Saccharomyces cerevisiae S288C: one gene and its partners. The protein of the gene in region 2 binds, or shares a complex with, the protein of the main gene of each other region. Each region holds a gene or a part of one and is shown on either strand. Other genes may lie near its edges. A codon is read from its position in the direction of its gene.

What was found. Proteins that work in one complex are often made in the same cells at the same time.
Region 1: the proteins of CDC4 (region 2) and SIC1 are in contact, whole or in part, in a crystal structure (PDB 3V7D), measured with the Saccharomyces cerevisiae proteins. Residues at the interface, in NP_116585.1 of Saccharomyces cerevisiae: Val384 (codon at 1,891), Trp426 (codon at 1,765), Thr441 (codon at 1,720), Arg443 (codon at 1,714), Ser464 (codon at 1,651), Thr465 (codon at 1,648), Arg467 (codon at 1,642), Arg485 (codon at 1,588), Arg534 (codon at 1,441), Tyr548 (codon at 1,399), Arg572 (codon at 1,327), Tyr574 (codon at 1,321), Leu634 (codon at 1,141), Gly636 (codon at 1,135), Leu637 (codon at 1,132), Ala650 (codon at 1,093), Ala675 (codon at 1,018), Ile676 (codon at 1,015), Thr677 (codon at 1,012), Trp717 (codon at 892); in NP_013180.1 of Saccharomyces cerevisiae: Phe71 (codon at 1,947), Asn72 (codon at 1,950), Gly73 (codon at 1,953), Leu74 (codon at 1,956), Thr75 (codon at 1,959), Ser76 (codon at 1,962), Pro77 (codon at 1,965), Gln78 (codon at 1,968), Arg79 (codon at 1,971), Ser80 (codon at 1,974).
Region 3: CDC4 (region 2) and CDC53 share a complex: the UniProt entries of both Saccharomyces cerevisiae proteins name them as parts of the SCF(CDC4) complex.

The regions. Positions count from the first base shown.
Region 1 is NC_001144.5:285,084-290,402, forward strand, and holds SIC1 (cyclin-dependent protein serine/threonine kinase inhibiting protein SIC1), read left to right. Parts: upstream 1-1,736; coding exon 1,737-2,591; downstream 2,592-5,319. Other genes in the region: FMP25 (Fmp25p), read left to right, coding at 1-540; BOS1 (Bos1p), read right to left, coding at 653-1,384, 1,474-1,476; EMP46 (Emp46p), read left to right, coding at 2,833-4,167; galactose permease GAL2, read left to right, coding at 5,129-5,319. UniProt on the Saccharomyces cerevisiae protein: Substrate and inhibitor of the cyclin-dependent protein kinase CDC28. Its activity could be important for faithful segregation of chromosomes to daughter cells. It acts in response to a signal from a post-start checkpoint.
Region 2 is NC_001138.5:111,945-119,184, reverse strand, and holds CDC4 (SCF ubiquitin ligase complex subunit CDC4), read right to left. Parts: upstream 3,041-7,240; coding exon 701-3,040; downstream 1-700. Other genes in the region: WWM1 (Wwm1p), read left to right, coding at 3,442-4,077; AUA1 (Aua1p), read right to left, coding at 3,911-4,195; hexose transporter HXT10, read right to left, coding at 5,200-6,840. UniProt on the Saccharomyces cerevisiae protein: Substrate recognition component of a SCF (SKP1-CUL1-F-box protein) E3 ubiquitin-protein ligase complex which mediates the ubiquitination and subsequent proteasomal degradation of target proteins. Recognizes and binds to phosphorylated target proteins.
Region 3 is NC_001136.10:222,578-229,479, reverse strand, and holds CDC53 (cullin CDC53), read right to left. Parts: upstream 5,177-6,902; coding exon 2,729-5,176; downstream 1-2,728. Other genes in the region: STF1 (ATPase-binding protein), read right to left, coding at 49-309; homocitrate synthase LYS21, read right to left, coding at 765-2,087; SRF1 (phospholipase D regulator), read right to left, coding at 5,740-6,902. UniProt on the Saccharomyces cerevisiae protein: Core component of multiple cullin-RING-based SCF (SKP1-CUL1-F-box) E3 ubiquitin-protein ligase complexes which mediate the ubiquitination and subsequent proteasomal degradation of target proteins.

The sequences.
Region 1 (5,319 bases), on a different chromosome or scaffold from region 2:
GCACTACCTATTTCGTACAATCTAGAATATGTTTCTTTCCCAAGATCGGTAACGCATGCATTTAAACCGCATTTCCCGGGGATGACGAATTGGAAATGTGTGGATATTCATTGTGATGATGAAACATCGTTTGTGACCATTCGTAAGCCTGGCTCAACGTCAGACCATCATTATTTCGCGTTTGGTAATGGACTTTTTGGTGAATTGGGCAACAACACTTTCAAGAACTCGCAATGTGATCCCATAAAAATCAAGTCGGATGACAAGAAATTGACCAACTGGAGTTGCGGCTCTCATTGTGTGTTCACTGAAACTGAACAAGAAAACGAGGTCATTGCATGGGGTAATAACGACCATGGCCAACTAGGTATTGGAAAGAAAACTATGAAATGCGCTAAGCCAATGAACATTCCCGAAGTTCTCAAACCAGGACAAGACACGACAGATTTGGACTCAATTTATAACAGTAAATTACACTTAAAAAAGGAGCAACGTGTAGTCACCAATGGTAATAAAAGTTGCTTATACTGGCGGGTTTGAGAAACGAAAGAGCATAGAAGGAAAGTAGCGAGATTCGCGATGTTTTTTCAACCCTTATAATGATGCATGTATATATGGTATGTTTATTTATATATAGAACTCACGGTTACTTCTATCTTAACCATTTCAACACATAATAAATACCTATGATCAAGAGAATTAACGCGATCCAAAAGACTAGTTTATCTTTGAACACCCGTTTATTGATAGAGGTGATAGTTTGTTCCGAAACACCCAATGTTCTTAGGCCATTTGACATTCTATCTTGTACCTTGGATAAAATTTTGTTTTGTTCCACTATATTTTCGAATGATTGTTGGCCCATTTCTAGAATGTAATCTAATTGAGCGTTACCCCTTTCGAAAACAGACTGTTCCTTTTGTAGCCCTTGGTACAACGGTAGTCCCCCACCGTTGCTAGAGCCCTCTTTACCATTTGCACTCGCACCACCAACGTTCCTTTTATTCATGATGGTCTCTGATGTACTAAAGGGGTTATCGGAGTCCATAACATGCGATGCTCCTGAGCCAAACAACTGAGTTCTGGAATTATTTTCGTTGTAGGATTGTTTTAAATCCTTAAACTTGGCAGTAAAGTCGTGCAGATCCTGTGTTAAAGTTGCTAGTCGATTAGCGAACTTAGGATCAATTTCCTCTGCATTAGTATCTTCTTTATATCTGTTTAAATGTTCTGCATATTGCTTAACTGTTTTCTCCAGTGAGACCAGAGTTGCAGAGATGGACCCTTGTAAAGAAATAGGGGCGGTCACAGAATTCTTTTCAAACCTGGCCAACTCTTGTTGTAGTTGATTTTTTTGCTTCACAGCATGGTTGTAAAGAGCGTTCTATTTGATGGTAGTAGCAAAATACCCTGTTAGTATTACATCTTGTTTTAGCAATAATGAGAAAAGATGCCTCCGGCGATCAAACATACCATTCCCCCCTCAAATCAATATGATTAAGTCACGATAATATCTGCACTATTGCCGTGTTTCCTTCTCCATCGACAGCGTCGATCCTGTCTATTATAGCCAGCACACTGAAAATTTCAATGGCTGGCTTGTTGTTCGCGTCGCAACTTTTGATATTTATAAAAAGAGAGAAGGCATATCCAAAGGATAAGGTATTGTCTTTGTAAATCAATCAACCAAACCTCTACGGAATTTTGACCCTTGAAGCAGGGACTATTACACGAAAATGACTCCTTCCACCCCACCAAGGTCCAGAGGGACTAGGTACCTTGCGCAGCCTAGTGGCAATACTAGTTCTAGTGCCCTAATGCAAGGTCAAAAGACCCCCCAAAAGCCTTCACAGAACCTAGTCCCTGTCACTCCCTCAACAACTAAGTCTTTTAAAAATGCGCCATTATTAGCACCTCCCAATTCGAACATGGGTATGACCTCTCCATTTAATGGGCTTACGTCTCCTCAACGCTCGCCGTTTCCAAAATCTTCAGTGAAGAGGACACTATTCCAATTTGAAAGTCATGATAATGGAACAGTAAGGGAAGAGCAGGAACCATTGGGTCGTGTAAATAGGATATTGTTTCCCACGCAGCAAAATGTGGATATAGATGCAGCAGAAGAAGAAGAAGAAGGAGAAGTTCTTCTTCCCCCCAGCAGACCTACATCTGCCAGGCAGTTACATTTATCACTTGAAAGAGATGAGTTTGATCAGACACATAGAAAGAAGATTATTAAAGATGTACCTGGTACGCCCAGCGACAAGGTGATAACATTTGAATTGGCAAAAAATTGGAACAACAACTCTCCGAAAAATGACGCCAGGAGTCAAGAAAGTGAAGACGAGGAAGACATCATCATCAATCCAGTGCGGGTGGGTAAAAATCCCTTTGCATCAGATGAACTGGTCACTCAGGAAATTAGAAATGAACGTAAAAGGGCAATGTTGAGAGAAAACCCAGATATAGAAGACGTAATAACATATGTCAATAAGAAGGGAGAGGTGGTAGAGAAACGAAGGTTAACGGATGAAGAAAAGAGAAGATTCAAGCCAAAGGCATTGTTTCAATCTAGGGATCAAGAGCATTGAAGAAATGAAAAAAAAAAGTTTCTGGAACGATTATATTTTATTTACTTACTTATTCTACATTTATTTGCAAAGGGGCATTAACATCAACATTTTACATATTATAATATATACAGGATATTCTATATTACAACATTAACAGGATTTTTAACTTTTCCTTACCGTATTCTTTTATTCTGGTTTTCTGTCTTCAGAATAATAGCATATTTCATTGTAGTATTTCGTCAAAGCGAGTTAGGGGAGGATGACTACAAGAAAGACAGCTTCCTCTCTTCAGCTTTTAGGGAAAATCACAGGAACAAAAGCTGGAACTAAGCAAAAGAAGATGAATTTCATTAATGGACTGATATGGTTATATATGTGTGTGTGGATGGTACACGGAAAAGTGACGCAGAAGGATGAATTGAAATGGAATAAAGGATACTCGCTACCAAATTTGCTAGAAGTGACAGATCAGCAAAAAGAACTTTCACAATGGACTTTGGGTGACAAAGTAAAACTTGAAGAAGGGAGGTTTGTTTTAACTCCTGGAAAGAACACAAAGGGTTCACTTTGGTTGAAACCTGAATATTCAATAAAGGATGCAATGACAATAGAGTGGACGTTTAGAAGTTTCGGGTTCAGAGGCAGCACAAAGGGGGGTCTTGCATTTTGGCTGAAGCAAGGAAATGAGGGAGATAGTACCGAGTTATTTGGTGGAAGTTCGAAGAAGTTTAATGGTTTGATGATATTGTTACGATTAGACGATAAGTTGGGAGAGAGCGTGACAGCGTATTTGAATGACGGAACAAAAGATCTTGATATTGAATCCTCACCGTACTTTGCGTCATGTCTGTTCCAATACCAGGATTCCATGGTACCATCAACATTAAGATTGACTTACAATCCACTAGATAATCACTTGTTAAAGTTGCAAATGGACAACAGAGTGTGTTTCCAGACAAGGAAAGTTAAATTTATGGGCAGCAGCCCATTTAGGATTGGAACAAGTGCTATCAACGATGCATCCAAAGAATCGTTTGAAATCTTGAAAATGAAGCTTTATGACGGAGTTATAGAGGATTCGCTAATTCCTAACGTGAATCCTATGGGACAACCCAGAGTGGTTACTAAAGTGATCAATTCTCAAACTGGTGAAGAGAGTTTCAGGGAAAAGATGCCATTTTCTGATAAGGAAGAAAGTATAACGAGTAACGAGCTTTTCGAAAAGATGAACAAGTTGGAGGGGAAAATCATGGCAAATGATATCGATCCATTACTCCGCAAGATGAACAAGATTGTGGAGAATGAACGTGAACTGATTCAACGTTTAAGACCACTGTTAGATCTGAAGAAAACAGCCATAAGTGACGATAGTTTCCAAGATTTTCTTTCGATGAACGCAAACCTGGACAGATTGATAAAAGAACAAGAAAAAATTCGACAAGATGCCAAGCTGTATGGCAAGCAGACCAAAGGTCATGATGAGATATTTTCCAAAATAAGTGTATGGTTGGCACTGCTGATTTTCATTATGATCACATTGGCGTACTACATGTTTAGAATTAACCAAGACATCAAGAAGGTCAAACTTCTGTAAGCTCTTGTGTCTTTGTTATATGGGTACAAGATATAAGAAACATAACTATTACATACGAAAATGTGCATGTTATCTATATCCTTCTTTATATAGATGCTGTTAACTTCTTTTTTTTTTTTTGGGAAAATCAACTGTTAAACGCGACAGTAAAAGCAGCAAAACATTAATTTTGCTTCCAAGACGACAGTAATATGTCTCCTACAATACCAGTTTCGCTGCAGAAGGCACATCTATTACATTTACTGAGCATAACGGGCTGTACTAATCCAAGGAGGTTTACGGACCAGGGGAACTTTCCAGATTCAGATCACAGCAATATAGGACTAGAAAATATCAGGTAGCCGCACTCAACTTGTAACTGGCAACTACTTTGCATCAAACTCCAATTAAATGCGGTAGAATCTTTTCACAAAAGGTACTCAACGTCAATTCGGAAAGCTTCCTTCCGGAATGGCTTAAGTAGGTTGCAATTTCTTTTTCTATTAGTAGCTAAAAATGGGTCACGTGATCTATATTCGAAAGGGGCGGTTGCCTCAGGAAGGCACCGGCGGTCTTTCGTCCGTGCGGAGATATCTGCGCCGTTCAGGGGTCCATGTGCCTTGGACGATATTAAGGCAGAAGGCAGTATCGGGGCGGATCACTCCGAACCGAGATTAGTTAAGCCCTTCCCATCTCAAGATGGGGAGCAAATGGCATTATACTCCTGCTAGAAAGTTAACTGTGCACATATTCTTAAATTATACAACATTCTGGAGAGCTATTGTTCAAAAAACAAACATTTCGCAGGCTAAAATGTGGAGATAGGATAAGTTTTGTAGACATATATAAACAATCAGTAATTGGATTGAAAATTTGGTGTTGTGAATTGCTCTTCATTATGCACCTTATTCAATTATCATCAAGAATAGTAATAGTTAAGTAAACACAAGATTAACATAATAAAAAAAATAATTCTTTCATAATGGCAGTTGAGGAGAACAATATGCCTGTTGTTTCACAGCAACCCCAAGCTGGTGAAGACGTGATCTCTTCACTCAGTAAAGATTCCCATTTAAGCGCACAATCTCAAAAGTATTCTAATGATGAATTGAAAGCCGGTGAGTCAGGGTCTGAAGGCTCCCAAAGTGTTCCTATAGAGATACCCAAGAAGCC
Region 2 (7,240 bases):
TAAAAACACTCATTATTTACATTGTCCAATTTGAGAAATATCATGTGATAATATACTAGTAACATGAATACTACTAATTAGATAATATTAGAACTTTATTCTAACACAATTGTATTAGCTTTTGTATTTCTTCTGCCCACGGGAGGTTGAGCGTAGAACTTCCTAATTCTCAAGAGAATATCGATCTTTTTGAAAAACTGAAAACGGAACAGATGTTTCAAAACATAACGCTTGATAACTTGAAAAAAATCAGCAGAATCAACTTCTTAACGTTAAAAGTTCAAGAAAACTCTTGGGCCAAGAACCATCAGGAATATATTATTTAAAAAATGGTTGCTACTTTCAAGAGCATCGATTTCTTATTTGGCGCGTAAAGAAATTTTAGTCACTTCGGTTATTACGCATTTTTCCAGCTTTTATTTCTTTGATTGCTTTTATATTTTTTTAGATCATTTTCAAAACTTTCTTAAACCCTTCTCAACTAAAAACTTGTACTTTCCATATTTTCAGGGAAGAAACATTAATTAATAAACGGCACCCTTTTTGTAAACACAATTAAAATTGAACATACAAGCAGTTTAGCTGCAGTTTATATTCAATAAAATGTACGAAGTTGTTATTGTACTTTTTTACTGATTATATAACTACTTATTAAGCTATATTATCTAAGTATGAGTCAATGCTTATTCTCTGGGAAAGGTCATGGTATTATAGTTGTCCTCGTTAGACCCAAAGAAGTAGAAATGGATTCCAAAGACGACGACGAGGAGTTTACGGGATTGCTAACGTAGTTAATTTTTGAAGCTTTGCTGAAATCCAGAATTTCTAAAAAGCTCTGTCCATCTTTTTCAACTGCTGCAACAAGTGTTTTGCCCTTAAAATTAACCGACCAAATCTGATCAGCATCTTTTAGAATATTTGCGTGGACCAATTTCCCACTCCGTAGATTATAGATGTTGAACTGATTTTCCGATCCACTCACCAAAATATTATCCGATACATAAAATGTGGTAATTGCACTCAAATTGGTATGATGGTAGGAAAATTTTCTAGAGTAGTCGTTTGCGTCCCAACCCCTTATTGAACCGTCTGCAGCGGCACTGACCAAAAATTTGTCGGATAATCTTAATAAACCGACCAAAGCTGTATGACCCTGCAAAGTGTACATAGCACCAAGTATTTTGGCGCATGGCGATGCTGAATTTGTTGCGTAGGAACATTCTCCATTATTCCATATATTTTCCAAATCCCAAATTCTAATAGTGGTATCCATACTGGCAGAGATGCACCTTTTTCTTTCATGATCGTAGATTGTCGAATAAATACGATCCGTATGTCCACTTAAAATATACAAACATTTCATTTGCGCAACATCCCACACAATCAGTGTATTATCATAGGAGCCACTAACGACAATATTACCGTGGCCTGAGACAGTTCTTACAGATGCCATATGTCCTCTTAAAACACCAACAAAATATGGGTTCTCCTCAGGGGTATGAAAGACTAATGGATAATCATGTTCTTCCCCATGATCAGGAACGGAGGACTCCTTGGGCAATTTCCAAACGTGCAAAGTGTTATCTCTCGAACCAGTAACAATGTACTTGATATTTTTATATTCTACTATATCTAGGCACCTCACCGTAGAGTTATGACCTTTAAACACATGGGTACAACAACCTTTCTTAATATCCCAAACTCGCACCGTTCTGTCTGTAGAACCGCTGACTAAAATACCGCCATGGGCATACTTCAATGCCCAAACCCCACCATCATGACCTGATAGTTGTAGAAGAAATTTCTTGTTTATCGAATCATAAACTCTGATCATTTTGTCATCAGCCCCCGTAATGACATAATTATCTTCAAATTGCAAGCACGTAATAACACTCGTCATATGGCCTCTTAACGTGGTCCTTTGTGGTACAAACTTGGGATTGTACCAATTTTTTAAAATGAATATATTCTCCAGAAAAGATAATCTAAGGCGATCTTGTTGTGAGAGTTTTGGGTATTTTTGGGAGAGTTTGAGATTGAGAGAATTAAAACCCTTTGGGCTCACAAAATTTTCCGATATCAGAAGTTTTTTCCACAACGATGTAGATTTTCTAATTATTTTGTTCCAATTTTGGGAGACCCCAAGGGAATTTATAATATCCTCGAATTGCAAATAATTGAAAATTTTCAAACTTATTTCAAAAGGCAAAGACGTTATTAGGTCCCTCTTTAAATTATCCTTGATTAAAGTCCCCAAGTCGGATAGTTCACTCCTATCCATGTTGGCAACTAATCTAAATAATAAATTTTTGAAGTATGCGTGAGGGAGATTATTGTTTATTGCGCTGAAAATCTCATCAGAAAGGTATTCAGGGGAGATTATAGAATCTTTGGATTCTATCAAATCGGCGATATTATTATTGTTGTTGATAGTTTTCGTAGTTTTAGCTAAAGGAGTTGTGGTACCTGGAGAGGAAGCAGTGGGTGATAACGGCAGCGCTCCTTCCTCCATAGGATTGTTAATAGTAGCACTATTAACATTGTTACTAACATCACTGCCAGTTATTGTTGCCGCATTGACGGTAGTGGGAGCAGCAACATTATGAGATGCCACTCCCATGTTTACACTCAATGTAGAAGGTGCGGCAGAACCATCATCCACAGACATCAAAAGTTTTTCTGCATCGTTGGATATATCTGTTAAATTGTGCAGACCGTCATTATCCACAGACGCTGCACCGGTGTTCTGTAAGTTAACTGGATGGAGGGTTTTGTGATTATCATGTTTTACCCTTTTGAAATCACTGCGTTCAGGAGTGGATTCGCCAGAACCAGCTGCTCTTTTCCTCTGATACTCATCGATATCTTCTTCGCCGTCTTCTGTCTCAACTGTCTTAGCCGTGGACGAGTTTCGATGAGTGCCAGCGGCAGTAACAAGCGCAGTAACACTACCTGAGGAAGCTATACCGCCAGACACACGGTAGCTATAAGGAACAGGGATATCACGTAATGGAAACTCAGCTAAGGGAAACGACCCCATCGTACAGCGTAATTTTTGCCTTTCTTTGATTCTTTATGCGTAATTTTCTTCGAACCGCAACAAGTTGAATGAGGAGAAGAAGAAGAGAATACTGTAAATAAACGTTTTTTTCCCAAAAAAGACACTATATTTTAAGCACACAGAAAAAGACACGCTTTGTTGAGCAATCTATATTCATATAACAGTGGTAATAGCCTTTCTCTCACAAGATATACAAGCGCTGTGACGTTTTAACGTATTCAGTATTATTTCAACAGGCTTTTTTGTTTCGTCCACCTGACCGAGCCGGCAGCTGGAAGAAAAAGTTTACTTTAGTCATGATAATCAAAAGACTCTTTCTGAATTGCTTTTATCACTCACTACAAGAGAGTCGATAAAAAAACCCAAAACATTTTAAAGTAATGGCTCAAAGTAAAAGTAATCCTCCTCAAGTGCCTTCTGGCTGGAAGGCTGTTTTTGATGATGAATACCAGACTTGGTATTATGTAGATTTATCTACGAACAGCTCTCAGTGGGAACCACCAAGGGGAACAACATGGCCAAGACCCAAAGGTCCTCCACCAGGTGTTAACAATGAGAAGAGTTCTCGTCAACAGGCAGACCAGGCTCCTCCACCTTATTCTTCTCAATCAACACCGCAAGTGCAAGCAGGGGCCCAAGCACAGCAACCTCGTTACTATCAGCCTCAACAGCCTCAGTACCCTCAATACCCTCAACAGCAGCGTTACTATCCTCAACAAGCCCCTATGCCAGCAGCAGCACCACAGCAAGCATACTATGGAACTGCGCCAAGCACCAGTAAAGGTAGTGGACACGGCGGTGCCATGATGGGTGGTTTACTTGGTGTTGGTGCGGGTTTGTTAGGTGGAGCTATGCTAGAACACGCATTTGACGACCACAACTATGACGGACCAGACACTGTCGTTGTCGAGAACAATTACTACGGTGATGATGCTGGTGGGTCCGACGGCGGATTTGATGATGCTGGTGGGTTCGACGGCGGATTTGATGATGGATTTGACGGTAGTGACTTTTAATGTTATCAAGACTTTTTGGACAAGGACGATAAAATGATATAAGCTCATCAAATCTATATTGCTTGCTGCCATCTAAATATGGATACATACAGATATATACTTGCAAAGATCGGTCCATTATACTACATAGAAAGCAATTAAAAGATAAAAAAACCCATCATGATATTCTACGCTTTTTTACTTAGCCATGTTGTTGAATGTAGCTTCAATTACTTCTGTCTGTCTAATTTATTGCTACTTTTTCACTTCTAAGTGAACCATCACAACACATATAGCATAGTCGAGAAAAAAATCAATAGCTATTACTAGATGATAGATACCGTATATGCCACCTACAGCTTACTAGAGAGCTTCCGGAATGATAGTATCATTTATCAAACTACCGGTATGGTTGTGTATTGACTGCGCCTCTCAATCTATGAAGCAGCACCACGCCTTATCGTGGCTATGCGCGATATGACCGAGCTTTACAACATACTTTTCAATAAGCCGTTCTTTGAATAATGGACCCTTTCCTATAACCTAGTGCGCGTTTAAGGTGTTTTGTTCCAATAATAGAAGCACCTATCCACATACTTCACATACAGATACACTAACTAATACCACCGATGAAGCGGAAACAATGATAAATGCAAAGCCTTGGAACATCGACAGGACTACCCGAAAATAATATGTGTGTTTACTAACAACGCAGTAATAAAGCTTTCATAACGGTAAAAAGAGGTAAGATCCTGTATAAACTGGTCTCTAGTTACTTATATCTCAAAACATTATATATGTCGATGGTACAAGTTTGACCTTACATTGCCTGATTTTTTCAGAAAGATAGCAGGTAGTTGTTATACTACAGTAATTTACTATAGCTAATCTTCATTTTAAAGTGCCCACTTCTTTTTTTTTTTGAAATTATTTCTGAGTAGTAGCTAGCTTATAAACTACTTATATGCATTTATTCACCGGCGTCGCAAATGTGTCCGTCTTATTTTTTTTAATTTTTTTTTCAATTTGTGACGCCATTAATAAAGGCTATTATATAAAACCAATCTCCATGAAATAGAAGTAAAGCATCAATCCATTATCTGTTGTTATTTCTGTTTACCAGAGTACAAGAATATTTAGAAATTATTTACTATCAACAATAACTAATGGTGTACTGCTTGTTGGTTGTGGTGTTCTTCTAGAACTGGGAATCCAACCTCCGGACTTCCATGGCTTTATTCTTTCTTCGTACATTTCATTAACTTCCTCCAGAGTTAATCCCTTTGTTTCGCAAACAAAGAAGAAAACGTAGAAGTACGAAAAGATTAAGCAACCCATGAAAACATAGCCATAAGAAAATCCTATGGATCTAGTGATAAAGGGTGTGAAAAATCCAATCAAGAAACCCCACATCCAGTTCGCACCAACCGCAATGGCCATGGCACGATTTTTAACTCTTAATGGATAAGTTTCTGCCACAATGACATAGGCGATAGGAGCCCAAGTAATGGCAAAAGAGAAAATGAAGAAACAAGTAAAAACGATCATAACATTACCAGCACTTTGCGAAGAAGGTTGGTCTTTCCCTTGTGGCCATAATCTAGTGACGCCAACGGTGGCGAATATGACGAAACAAATTGCCATCGAGGCAGACCCCCACAATAAACATTTTCGACGCCCAAATTTATCCACAATGTATAGTGCAACAAATGTAGAAGCAAAATTAACAGCCCCAAGGACAATGGAAGTCTCGAAAGAGTCTTGCATTCCAACAGCATTGAAAATGGTCGTGCCGTAGTAGAAAAAATAATTACAGCCAGTAAGCTGTTGCAGTGACTGGATAACGATTCCCATTATTACCCTTGGTAGAATTGCTCCTTTATTTGAGAAGAGTTCGTGCCAACTGGCATTTCCAACAGCCCTTTCTAATTCCATATTTGCAACTATAGTATCAAACTCAAAAACAACGCCTGGATCAGTAACTGTGACCTTGTTTGATTTGGCCAAAGACCTTCTAGCTTCTTCATACTTACCTTTTTCTACTAAATATCTGGGCGATTCCGGAACCATAACCATTCCAATCACCATAAAGATTGCCCACGCAAAACACAAACCCAAGGGAACCCGCCACTGTATTGAATTTGAATATTTCTTTGTACCATAATTGGTACAGTAGCCCAAGAAAATTCCAAGGGTAATCATTAGCTGGTAAAAAGAGACACAAGTGCCTCTTAGGTGCTTTGGGGAAATTTCTGAGATCAAAGTTGGCGACAGCACAGCAACACCTCCAACACCCATTCCAGAAACAATTCTACCAATAAAATATTGATACCATTTGTCAGAGGAAGCAATCTGGATCACGATACCAACAACATACACCAGTATAACACACATTAAGCCGATTTTACGCCCATAAATATCGCCCAGGCGTCCCAGCGTTAGGCCACCTAAAGCACAACCTATGTTGAAGATACCGACAATTAGCCCTGTCCTGACATCTGATAGTTGAAAACTGCCGTCCCTTTGTAACTCACCAAACCTTCTCTTGAAATCTGTTTGGTTAATAAACCCTGAAATGGTTCCTGTATCCCAACCAAAAATGAATCCACCAAAGGCAATCATCAGACAGAGACCCATCACCGTCCAGTATGCAATAATGGGTTTGTATGGAATGTCCAAGCTAGCTTCCCTTGTTTCAGGGGTTAGTTTAATTTCATCCTTTCTACTTAGAGAAGTGGATGCCTTGGCGCTAGTCCCCAAAATGGAAACACTTGAACTAACCATCCTCGCTGTTATTTTTTTGTTATATCGATCAACTATATTATTATTAATTATTTATTGTATTTTTATTACGAGAAAGAAATAGTTTTAGATAGATAAACCGTCATTGAGGCGCAGAGCGTACCAACACATTTCTTGTGTCCTTATATAACAATTCCTTCTGATTGGAAAACATGTAGGAACAAACATAAAGAGAATAATTTCACTGGTATAATTCATTTCTGTGTAATAACCCTAACCCAACGGCTACGCCATATCTTTCATAATCAGTCAACTGAGTGTACCCCACATCCGAAACAAAGTATATAACCTTAAAAGTGTCGAAAATAGGTGTCAAATATCGATGAGCACACAAAACCTAGTAGCGGAATTACGACGTCCGTCATTTTCTTAGCGTCGACAA
Region 3 (6,902 bases), on a different chromosome or scaffold from region 2:
CTACGTACAAAACGTGTCTGCAGAACCTTTAGCCTTAACAATGACCAATCACTTTGAAAGGTTATTAATTTTGTTTTCTAAATTCTCTAATTTTTTCTTGTGTTCTTTTAGTTGTTCCTTCACATGTGCTAATTGTTCCCTCTCTTGTTGTCTGGCATAATAATCCTCTTTGGCACGTTCTCTCTTGATAAAGATATCTTGAGGATTACCAGGTCCGGCACCACCGAGAGGACCATCTGAATAAAAGCGAGAGGCAATTCTTAGGTTTACTGGCAGCCTGGTATTACGGGAAATGCAACGGTTTAACATATTGATAGCGTGTTTGGTTGGATGACTGGGTGAAAGTGCTTCTTAATATCTACAATGGAGAGCTCAATTTTCTTATGAACGACTGAACTAAATATAATAAATAATTCCCCAGCCGCCCCCTAAAAGATAATAATGATGCTTGAAATAGTTAGCAAATAGAAACCGATCATTTGACGTATATAGTGATCATTATCATAACGGAAATACTCCGTGAGAGTATAATAGCGTGGGGAATCGCACAGAGTCAATATTCATTGATCTCAATTAATTGATTAAAATACCCCGTCTTCAAGCTAGATGCAACCGCCTCAATTGAACATCGGAGTAGGAGAAAAAGCTTATTGAATAAAGTTGACGTAAATAGTAATTTTATTACGGTAATCGCCAGTACTTAAACACCTAATAACGCCCAGTATGTGTATGTTTGAAATATGTGTACTATATATATAATGAAACTATTTGGTGACCTTTGCCTTTTTAGAAACATGCCCATTGGAAATATCGATATTGTCGTCATCTGTACCCTTATTTACTGGTTTTAAAAGTGGGGTGCTCAATTCTGCATGGAAGTCCTTGATAATGGAGTCTACATCATCAATATTTAGCGGTCTGACATCACCCAGCTTCTTAATCTTAGCAGTAACTTCCTTGATTTGATCATCCGTCAAATTCAAGTTCAATTGGTCGACTCTTGATTTGATTGCATTCCAACCAGTTAGTCTGTTGGCGAAGTGGATATATCTCTTCATACCGAAATCGTGAGGGTCCAAGATTTCGTAGGTAGATGGGTTAGCCAAAATGGCCTTGGCATGGATACCTGCTTTATGTGTGAATGCACAGAACCCGGTGATAGGGTTGTTGAATGGAATGTTAACTTCCACAGCATCAGCGACCAGGTTTTCGATGTCTCTGATCTTGTGCAGCTTGTATTTAGATCTGACATAGTCTGGTGCGGCAACAATCATTCTTGCCATGAGCCCACCTAGAGGAGTGATACCGTTTCTTTCACCAATACCCAGTACACTGACGTCAATCAATCTGGCACCACCTTCCAAAGCAGTGTAGGCGTTTGCAATGGCACAACCGGTATCATTGTGGAAATGGCATTCGATGTCACATGAGACAACACTCTTCAAAGTTCTGATCAGTTCATATACTTGTCTTGGGTTGGCACATCCAACTGTGTCGGCAATACCGACTCTATTTACACCGATCTTGTCAACGGTTTTATAAATGTTCAAAAGATCAACGAGATCACTTCTGAAGGAATCTTCAGAGGAAAATCTGATTTCAATACCTTTGGATTTGACAAATTCAATGACTTCAACAGCACTCTTGGCGATGTAGTTCATATCCTTACCGTGGGAATATTGTCTTAAAAATTTGGAGGTGCCGATAACAACATCGACACCGTCGACACCAGTCTCTACGGCGACTCTGGCATCGTCCATGTGACAACGAATGTGTGTAAGGATCTTGGCCTTTAAACCTAGTTTACATATAGCTTCACAGTCCTTTCTTGATTGTTCGGATGCTACGGGAGAGGTTAACTCGATGTAGTCCACACCGAAATCATCCAAGGCTCTAGCAATTTCAATCTTTTTTTCAGTATCGAAGAATGCGTTGGCAAATTGTTCACCCTCTCTTAGTGTTGAATCAATCAACTGGAAATTCTTAACATTGGATAGATAATCCGCAGGATTTGGGCCATATGGGTTACTAGTGGTTGGAGCAGTCGTCGATTCGGTGACACTCTGGAATTCGTTATTTTCAGACATGGTTTGTTAAAGTATACAATTACTTGGGTTGTCGTTGCACTTTTAAATGTGTAGCAAATAAAGGCCTAAACGCAACAAGAAGAAAGATAAATTTTGAAATCTGTTGCATATATATATTAGTATATAAGAGACTGCATGAAAATGCGAACAAACGCATGCTCAACACCACTCATGCGCAATATCGTAGAATCACACACAACGAGAACGATCAGCTTGGCATCTTTGCAAAGTGACTAATTTTCGCTGTTCCACCACTATCGCACATTGCGCGACGTGATTTCTACGCGGATTTCTTGGAGCTGGTAGCTGCTGGTGACGATTTCCAGCGGAATTTCAACTCTGCCACTGACTGATCCTTGTTGTCAGTCTCATCATTTCAGCCTGATCTCTTCTCAAGCAGGCCGAAAAGCCGCCCGGTAAAGGATGTTACAACGGAAAGAGAAGTGCCATATCTTCATACTATGAGATTCTCAAGAGGTCAAAGACTCTTCATAGTTCAGTTGAATACACACAATTACACACACACACATATATATATATACATATATATATATATATATATATATATATATATATGTATACGCTTATGTATTTACTCGTAGGATTTGCTTCGTTCGATCAGCACAAGCCTTCAAAGATGATTAAGCAAGGTAAGCATACGATTCACCATCGTCTCCCCTCTGTAGGTATCCCTTTTGTATTAAGCTATCGATGGCTCTCTTGACCATAGAAACCTTTGCATTGAACCTTTGGTGTGATTGCGCAATGCATTCGTTGACCAATGTTGTATGTGGCAGATTTCTTTTCGCTTTCATTATTCTCACAATACAAGCTTCCAAGAAAATCTGCCTTTCTGTATTCAATTCTTTTTCTATTCTTTCGTCTTCCGTCAAGCGTTTGTTTCCTAACTTATTACCGTGATTATCGTGGCCTCCACCGGATAGCGATTGCAGAATGTCGTTTTTGACTCCGCTAGCGAAATTAATATTGGTCTTAAGCGCCTTATAAGGACGTGATAGCTTGAATTGTGTTTCAGGTTTCACGAGAGCATCTAGCCCTGGTGGGACCTGTTGAATCAGTTTGAATTTGATGAATGGTACCATTGCCGCTGCGATGTGCTGAATGGTTAAGCTCGTGCCCTCTTGAATATTTTCTAAGGTTAATACATCAGCATCGTTATATAGTAGCAAAATTGCCATTTGAAACAGTGTTACCGTAAAGTTGAACGGCATCCTGCCGGGTTTTCCAATATCTGCCTTCAATTCGCCACGACATAATGGCCATAGCCACTTCAATATTCTACCATTATGCTTTTGGCTGTATGACTCCTTCAATTTTTCGTGAGATGGTACCAATTCCTTGGGTAGCTTAAATTCAACTTCTTGGTATGAAAATGGCCACATATTTTCTGCCAATACAAATGGTTGTAGATCTGGATATTTTGCTTTAGAGTAATCTGGTTCATTCTTCAGGGCGACAGCAAAATCGTCTTCCAAGATCTTGGAAAGTCTAATATCTTGAAACATTTTAGTTATCTTGCCTGTATATTCCATACTATTTGCCGCTTGCAGCCTTTGAATAATATTTTCTTCGTCTTCTGCTGATGTTGAAGTGCCATGAATTAAACGCTTGGCGAAAAGTCTTCTATAATGAGTTTCGAACGCATCTTTGTCGGTCAAATATTTGAATATTGTTATAATATCTTCATCTGACATGTCACTTGCCACTTCAGGTTTGGTGGCCTTCTTTAATAGTATATCACTGTACTTAGCTAGCATCTCGGAAGTCTTCGAGGTGGCACTTTTTGGAGATCCAGCAGGTAATGCGAACTCGTTGATGTTGATGAAAGCACCACACGCATTATCTAGAGCTTTAGCTAAAGGTATGTCGTCGGGGAAACTTTCATTAAAAATCTTAGAGAATATATCGTGTACTTCCAGTAATTTCTTGATATAGTCTTTAGGAGAAAGGGAGTGAGCTGTCATTAGTGCTAGTTTTTTAGGGTTTGCGTTTTCGTTTTTCATAATATTGTGTTTATGCATTGCCAGTAGACTCGAAATTTCATTCTCACCTGTCTTTTTAACATAATTTTCAAACACTGAAGCCATTCTTGGGATTAATGTAAAGTCTCTGCGTATTAGTGCGTACAAAGAAGTAATTTTTTCAATATCTCTGGCATCCAGAAGGACAACAAACTCATTTTCCAACTTTTCAATATGGTCTGTGATCAAGACCTTGTTTAATGCCATGGATAGTGGTTTTTTTGTATGATCATCCCAATATATTGTCATTGCTTTTTCCTCACGTTTGATGATTTCATGTGCTTCAAAAATATACTCAGTTACCGAGTGTTTCTCTAAATAATCGTTTGTATATTGCGTGTAGTACTCCTGAGTCTTCTTTAAAAATGGCTTTTCGAAAACTTGGATGTAGACATTTAGGTTCAACTTTTTCAAATCCTGTGGATCGATACCTAGTGCAACTAAAGACTTTATGGCAGTGCTAATATTACTTCTTTGAATTATTTGCCCCTCCCTTCCCAAGGTTACCTGGTCTAATAATTCGTTTATTAAAACATCTTTACTCGGATCAAACATGACTTCTTTCCATGTCATCAAGCACAAGGTGTTTACATCAAAAATATGCCTTTTGCCGTCACTTCTTTCCTTTTGAACCCAATATCTATTCATATAATCGAATGCATGGTTTAAAAAAATGGCACCTATTGTAAACCTTTTCCAGCGCTTGACGTAAAACTGCAAAAAGGTCTCTGAATTAGACTGCTTAAAATTTAAAATGTAATTCTTCAAATAATTCTTTAACTTTTCGTAAATCTCACTGCCAACCAAAATTGTTGATTGGCCAGTTCTACTGTCAGTACTAAAATGTCCAGACGAGCGTGATTTGTTCACACAGTAGTTATAAATTGCGGTATAGACTTCCATATACATGGTTGGAGAAAGAATTTTGTAAACTCGCTTAGACGTGGATGCTTGGTTTTTCTCATTACCCAGTATTTGGTTAATTCCTGGCTCTATAAAGTTCCAAGTGGCCTCTAAATCATCAGATCTAGGCAGAGTCTCAGACATGCTTTGCTGCTTGCGATTTTGTTGTTATTCTTTGTTTAGGTATATGTAAGAATCCTTTCAAGACTCAAAAATGTACGCTTATTTATCGGTAAGTAGAAGCAATGTCGAATTGCTAAAAGAAATGTGTAACTGAGGTAAAATGTAATCAACAATGAAAGGGGTGCACAGAAGTTAGAAGATGCGGATGAAAAGCTCTAAAAGAGAAAAAGGACAATATAAAAGAGCAGTGATATGAATCAATTGCGTTGTAAAGTGAAGTTCTGCTGGGGTACTTTACCTAATGCCCTAGTTTTTCTAGATGTTCTATTTGCCACATTTCACTTCATGTGTGTCCATCAAACATCGAAATGAAAAAGGGCCCTTAAAACGGAAAGGAAAAGAAAGTGCAATAGCCCTCCCTTCGGGTAATACATATTATATCGCACAAAGCCTAATATAATCAAACCCGCCGTTAATGAATAAATGCCAAGCCGGAGTAATTTTTTAAGTCAAAAATATACAATGCATATAAATGTCAATCTTGGTATCTAAAAGAATTCTTTTAATTTCTATATTTGTCGAGCTCAGTTTCTGTTGGTAATTGAACTGACTTTTTCGACTACTCTAACAATACTGATCGAGAAAGTGATTACCCACATAAACAAGGCAACGAACAGAAAAGCGGATAAAGCTTCCTGTTTTCTGCAGATACGCGGTATTTTTGGGTATCCATACGTGCTTCCATTTGACCTGCGAATAGAAGTGCAAACCCACTCTTTGTCGAAACGAGTATTAAATGCCAGCGCTAGATTAGCGCTTGAAAAAATTATAAAAAGTAAGTCCAACAAAATTAGTTTCAGTTTGCTTAACGGATTCCTCAAACCAACAGGTTTACCAGCAAATTCATCGTGTGCAATGTAAATAATATACGCAATCGCCACGGCGTTGACGCAGATGGCCATTATGGTGCTTGGTTGTTGCCCGATTTTACTTTCACTGATGGTGTTATTTGATCTTGAGTTTTGAAAAATCTTGATTGCCAGAGCAAGTGAAATGCACGATAATATACCAGTGAAAATCCTCAAACCCAAAATCAAATATTGATTATCAAGTAATAGCGACGTCAAAGGAGGTCTCCACTGTTGTAACTTCCTTTGCTTTAACCTCCGCCACTTTTCTCTCTCTTTATTGAGCTCATTTACCCAATCTGACTTGTAAACTTTGTTGTGTACTGATTCGGGTGATTCTGGGTTCTTCTTATTATCACCGTAATAGAAATCTTTTACCTTTTCGATATATTGTAACCACTCTTTTCTCTCTTCTGTCGTGTTGAACTCTAAATTGGCACCTATTTCTGAATGTAGAACACCTTCTAGTCGTTCTTCACCTCCCCACTCGCTGCACATGTCACCTAAAATTTCTCTAAGAGCCGCATTTTTTGATGAGGTAGATGATGATAGAGAGTAACCATCGTAGGATTTGTGACTAGGATTGTAGTTTTGGTCTCTAGTGTATGCAGAATGACAGCCGATGGTAGATGCAAACTGGCCCCATTTAAACTCTTTTGGAAGATTTTTATCATCGGTAACATTTCCATCAACGGTGCCCTTATCCTGAAGTCTTAATTTATCAAACTGCGCCTCTAAAACATAAGGCGGCACTGTGGTAGGCACAAACGTGTAAGTATTTAATTTTGGATAGTCTAGTGGTGAACCATCACTGTGTTTGGGAACATGTATCTTTGCAT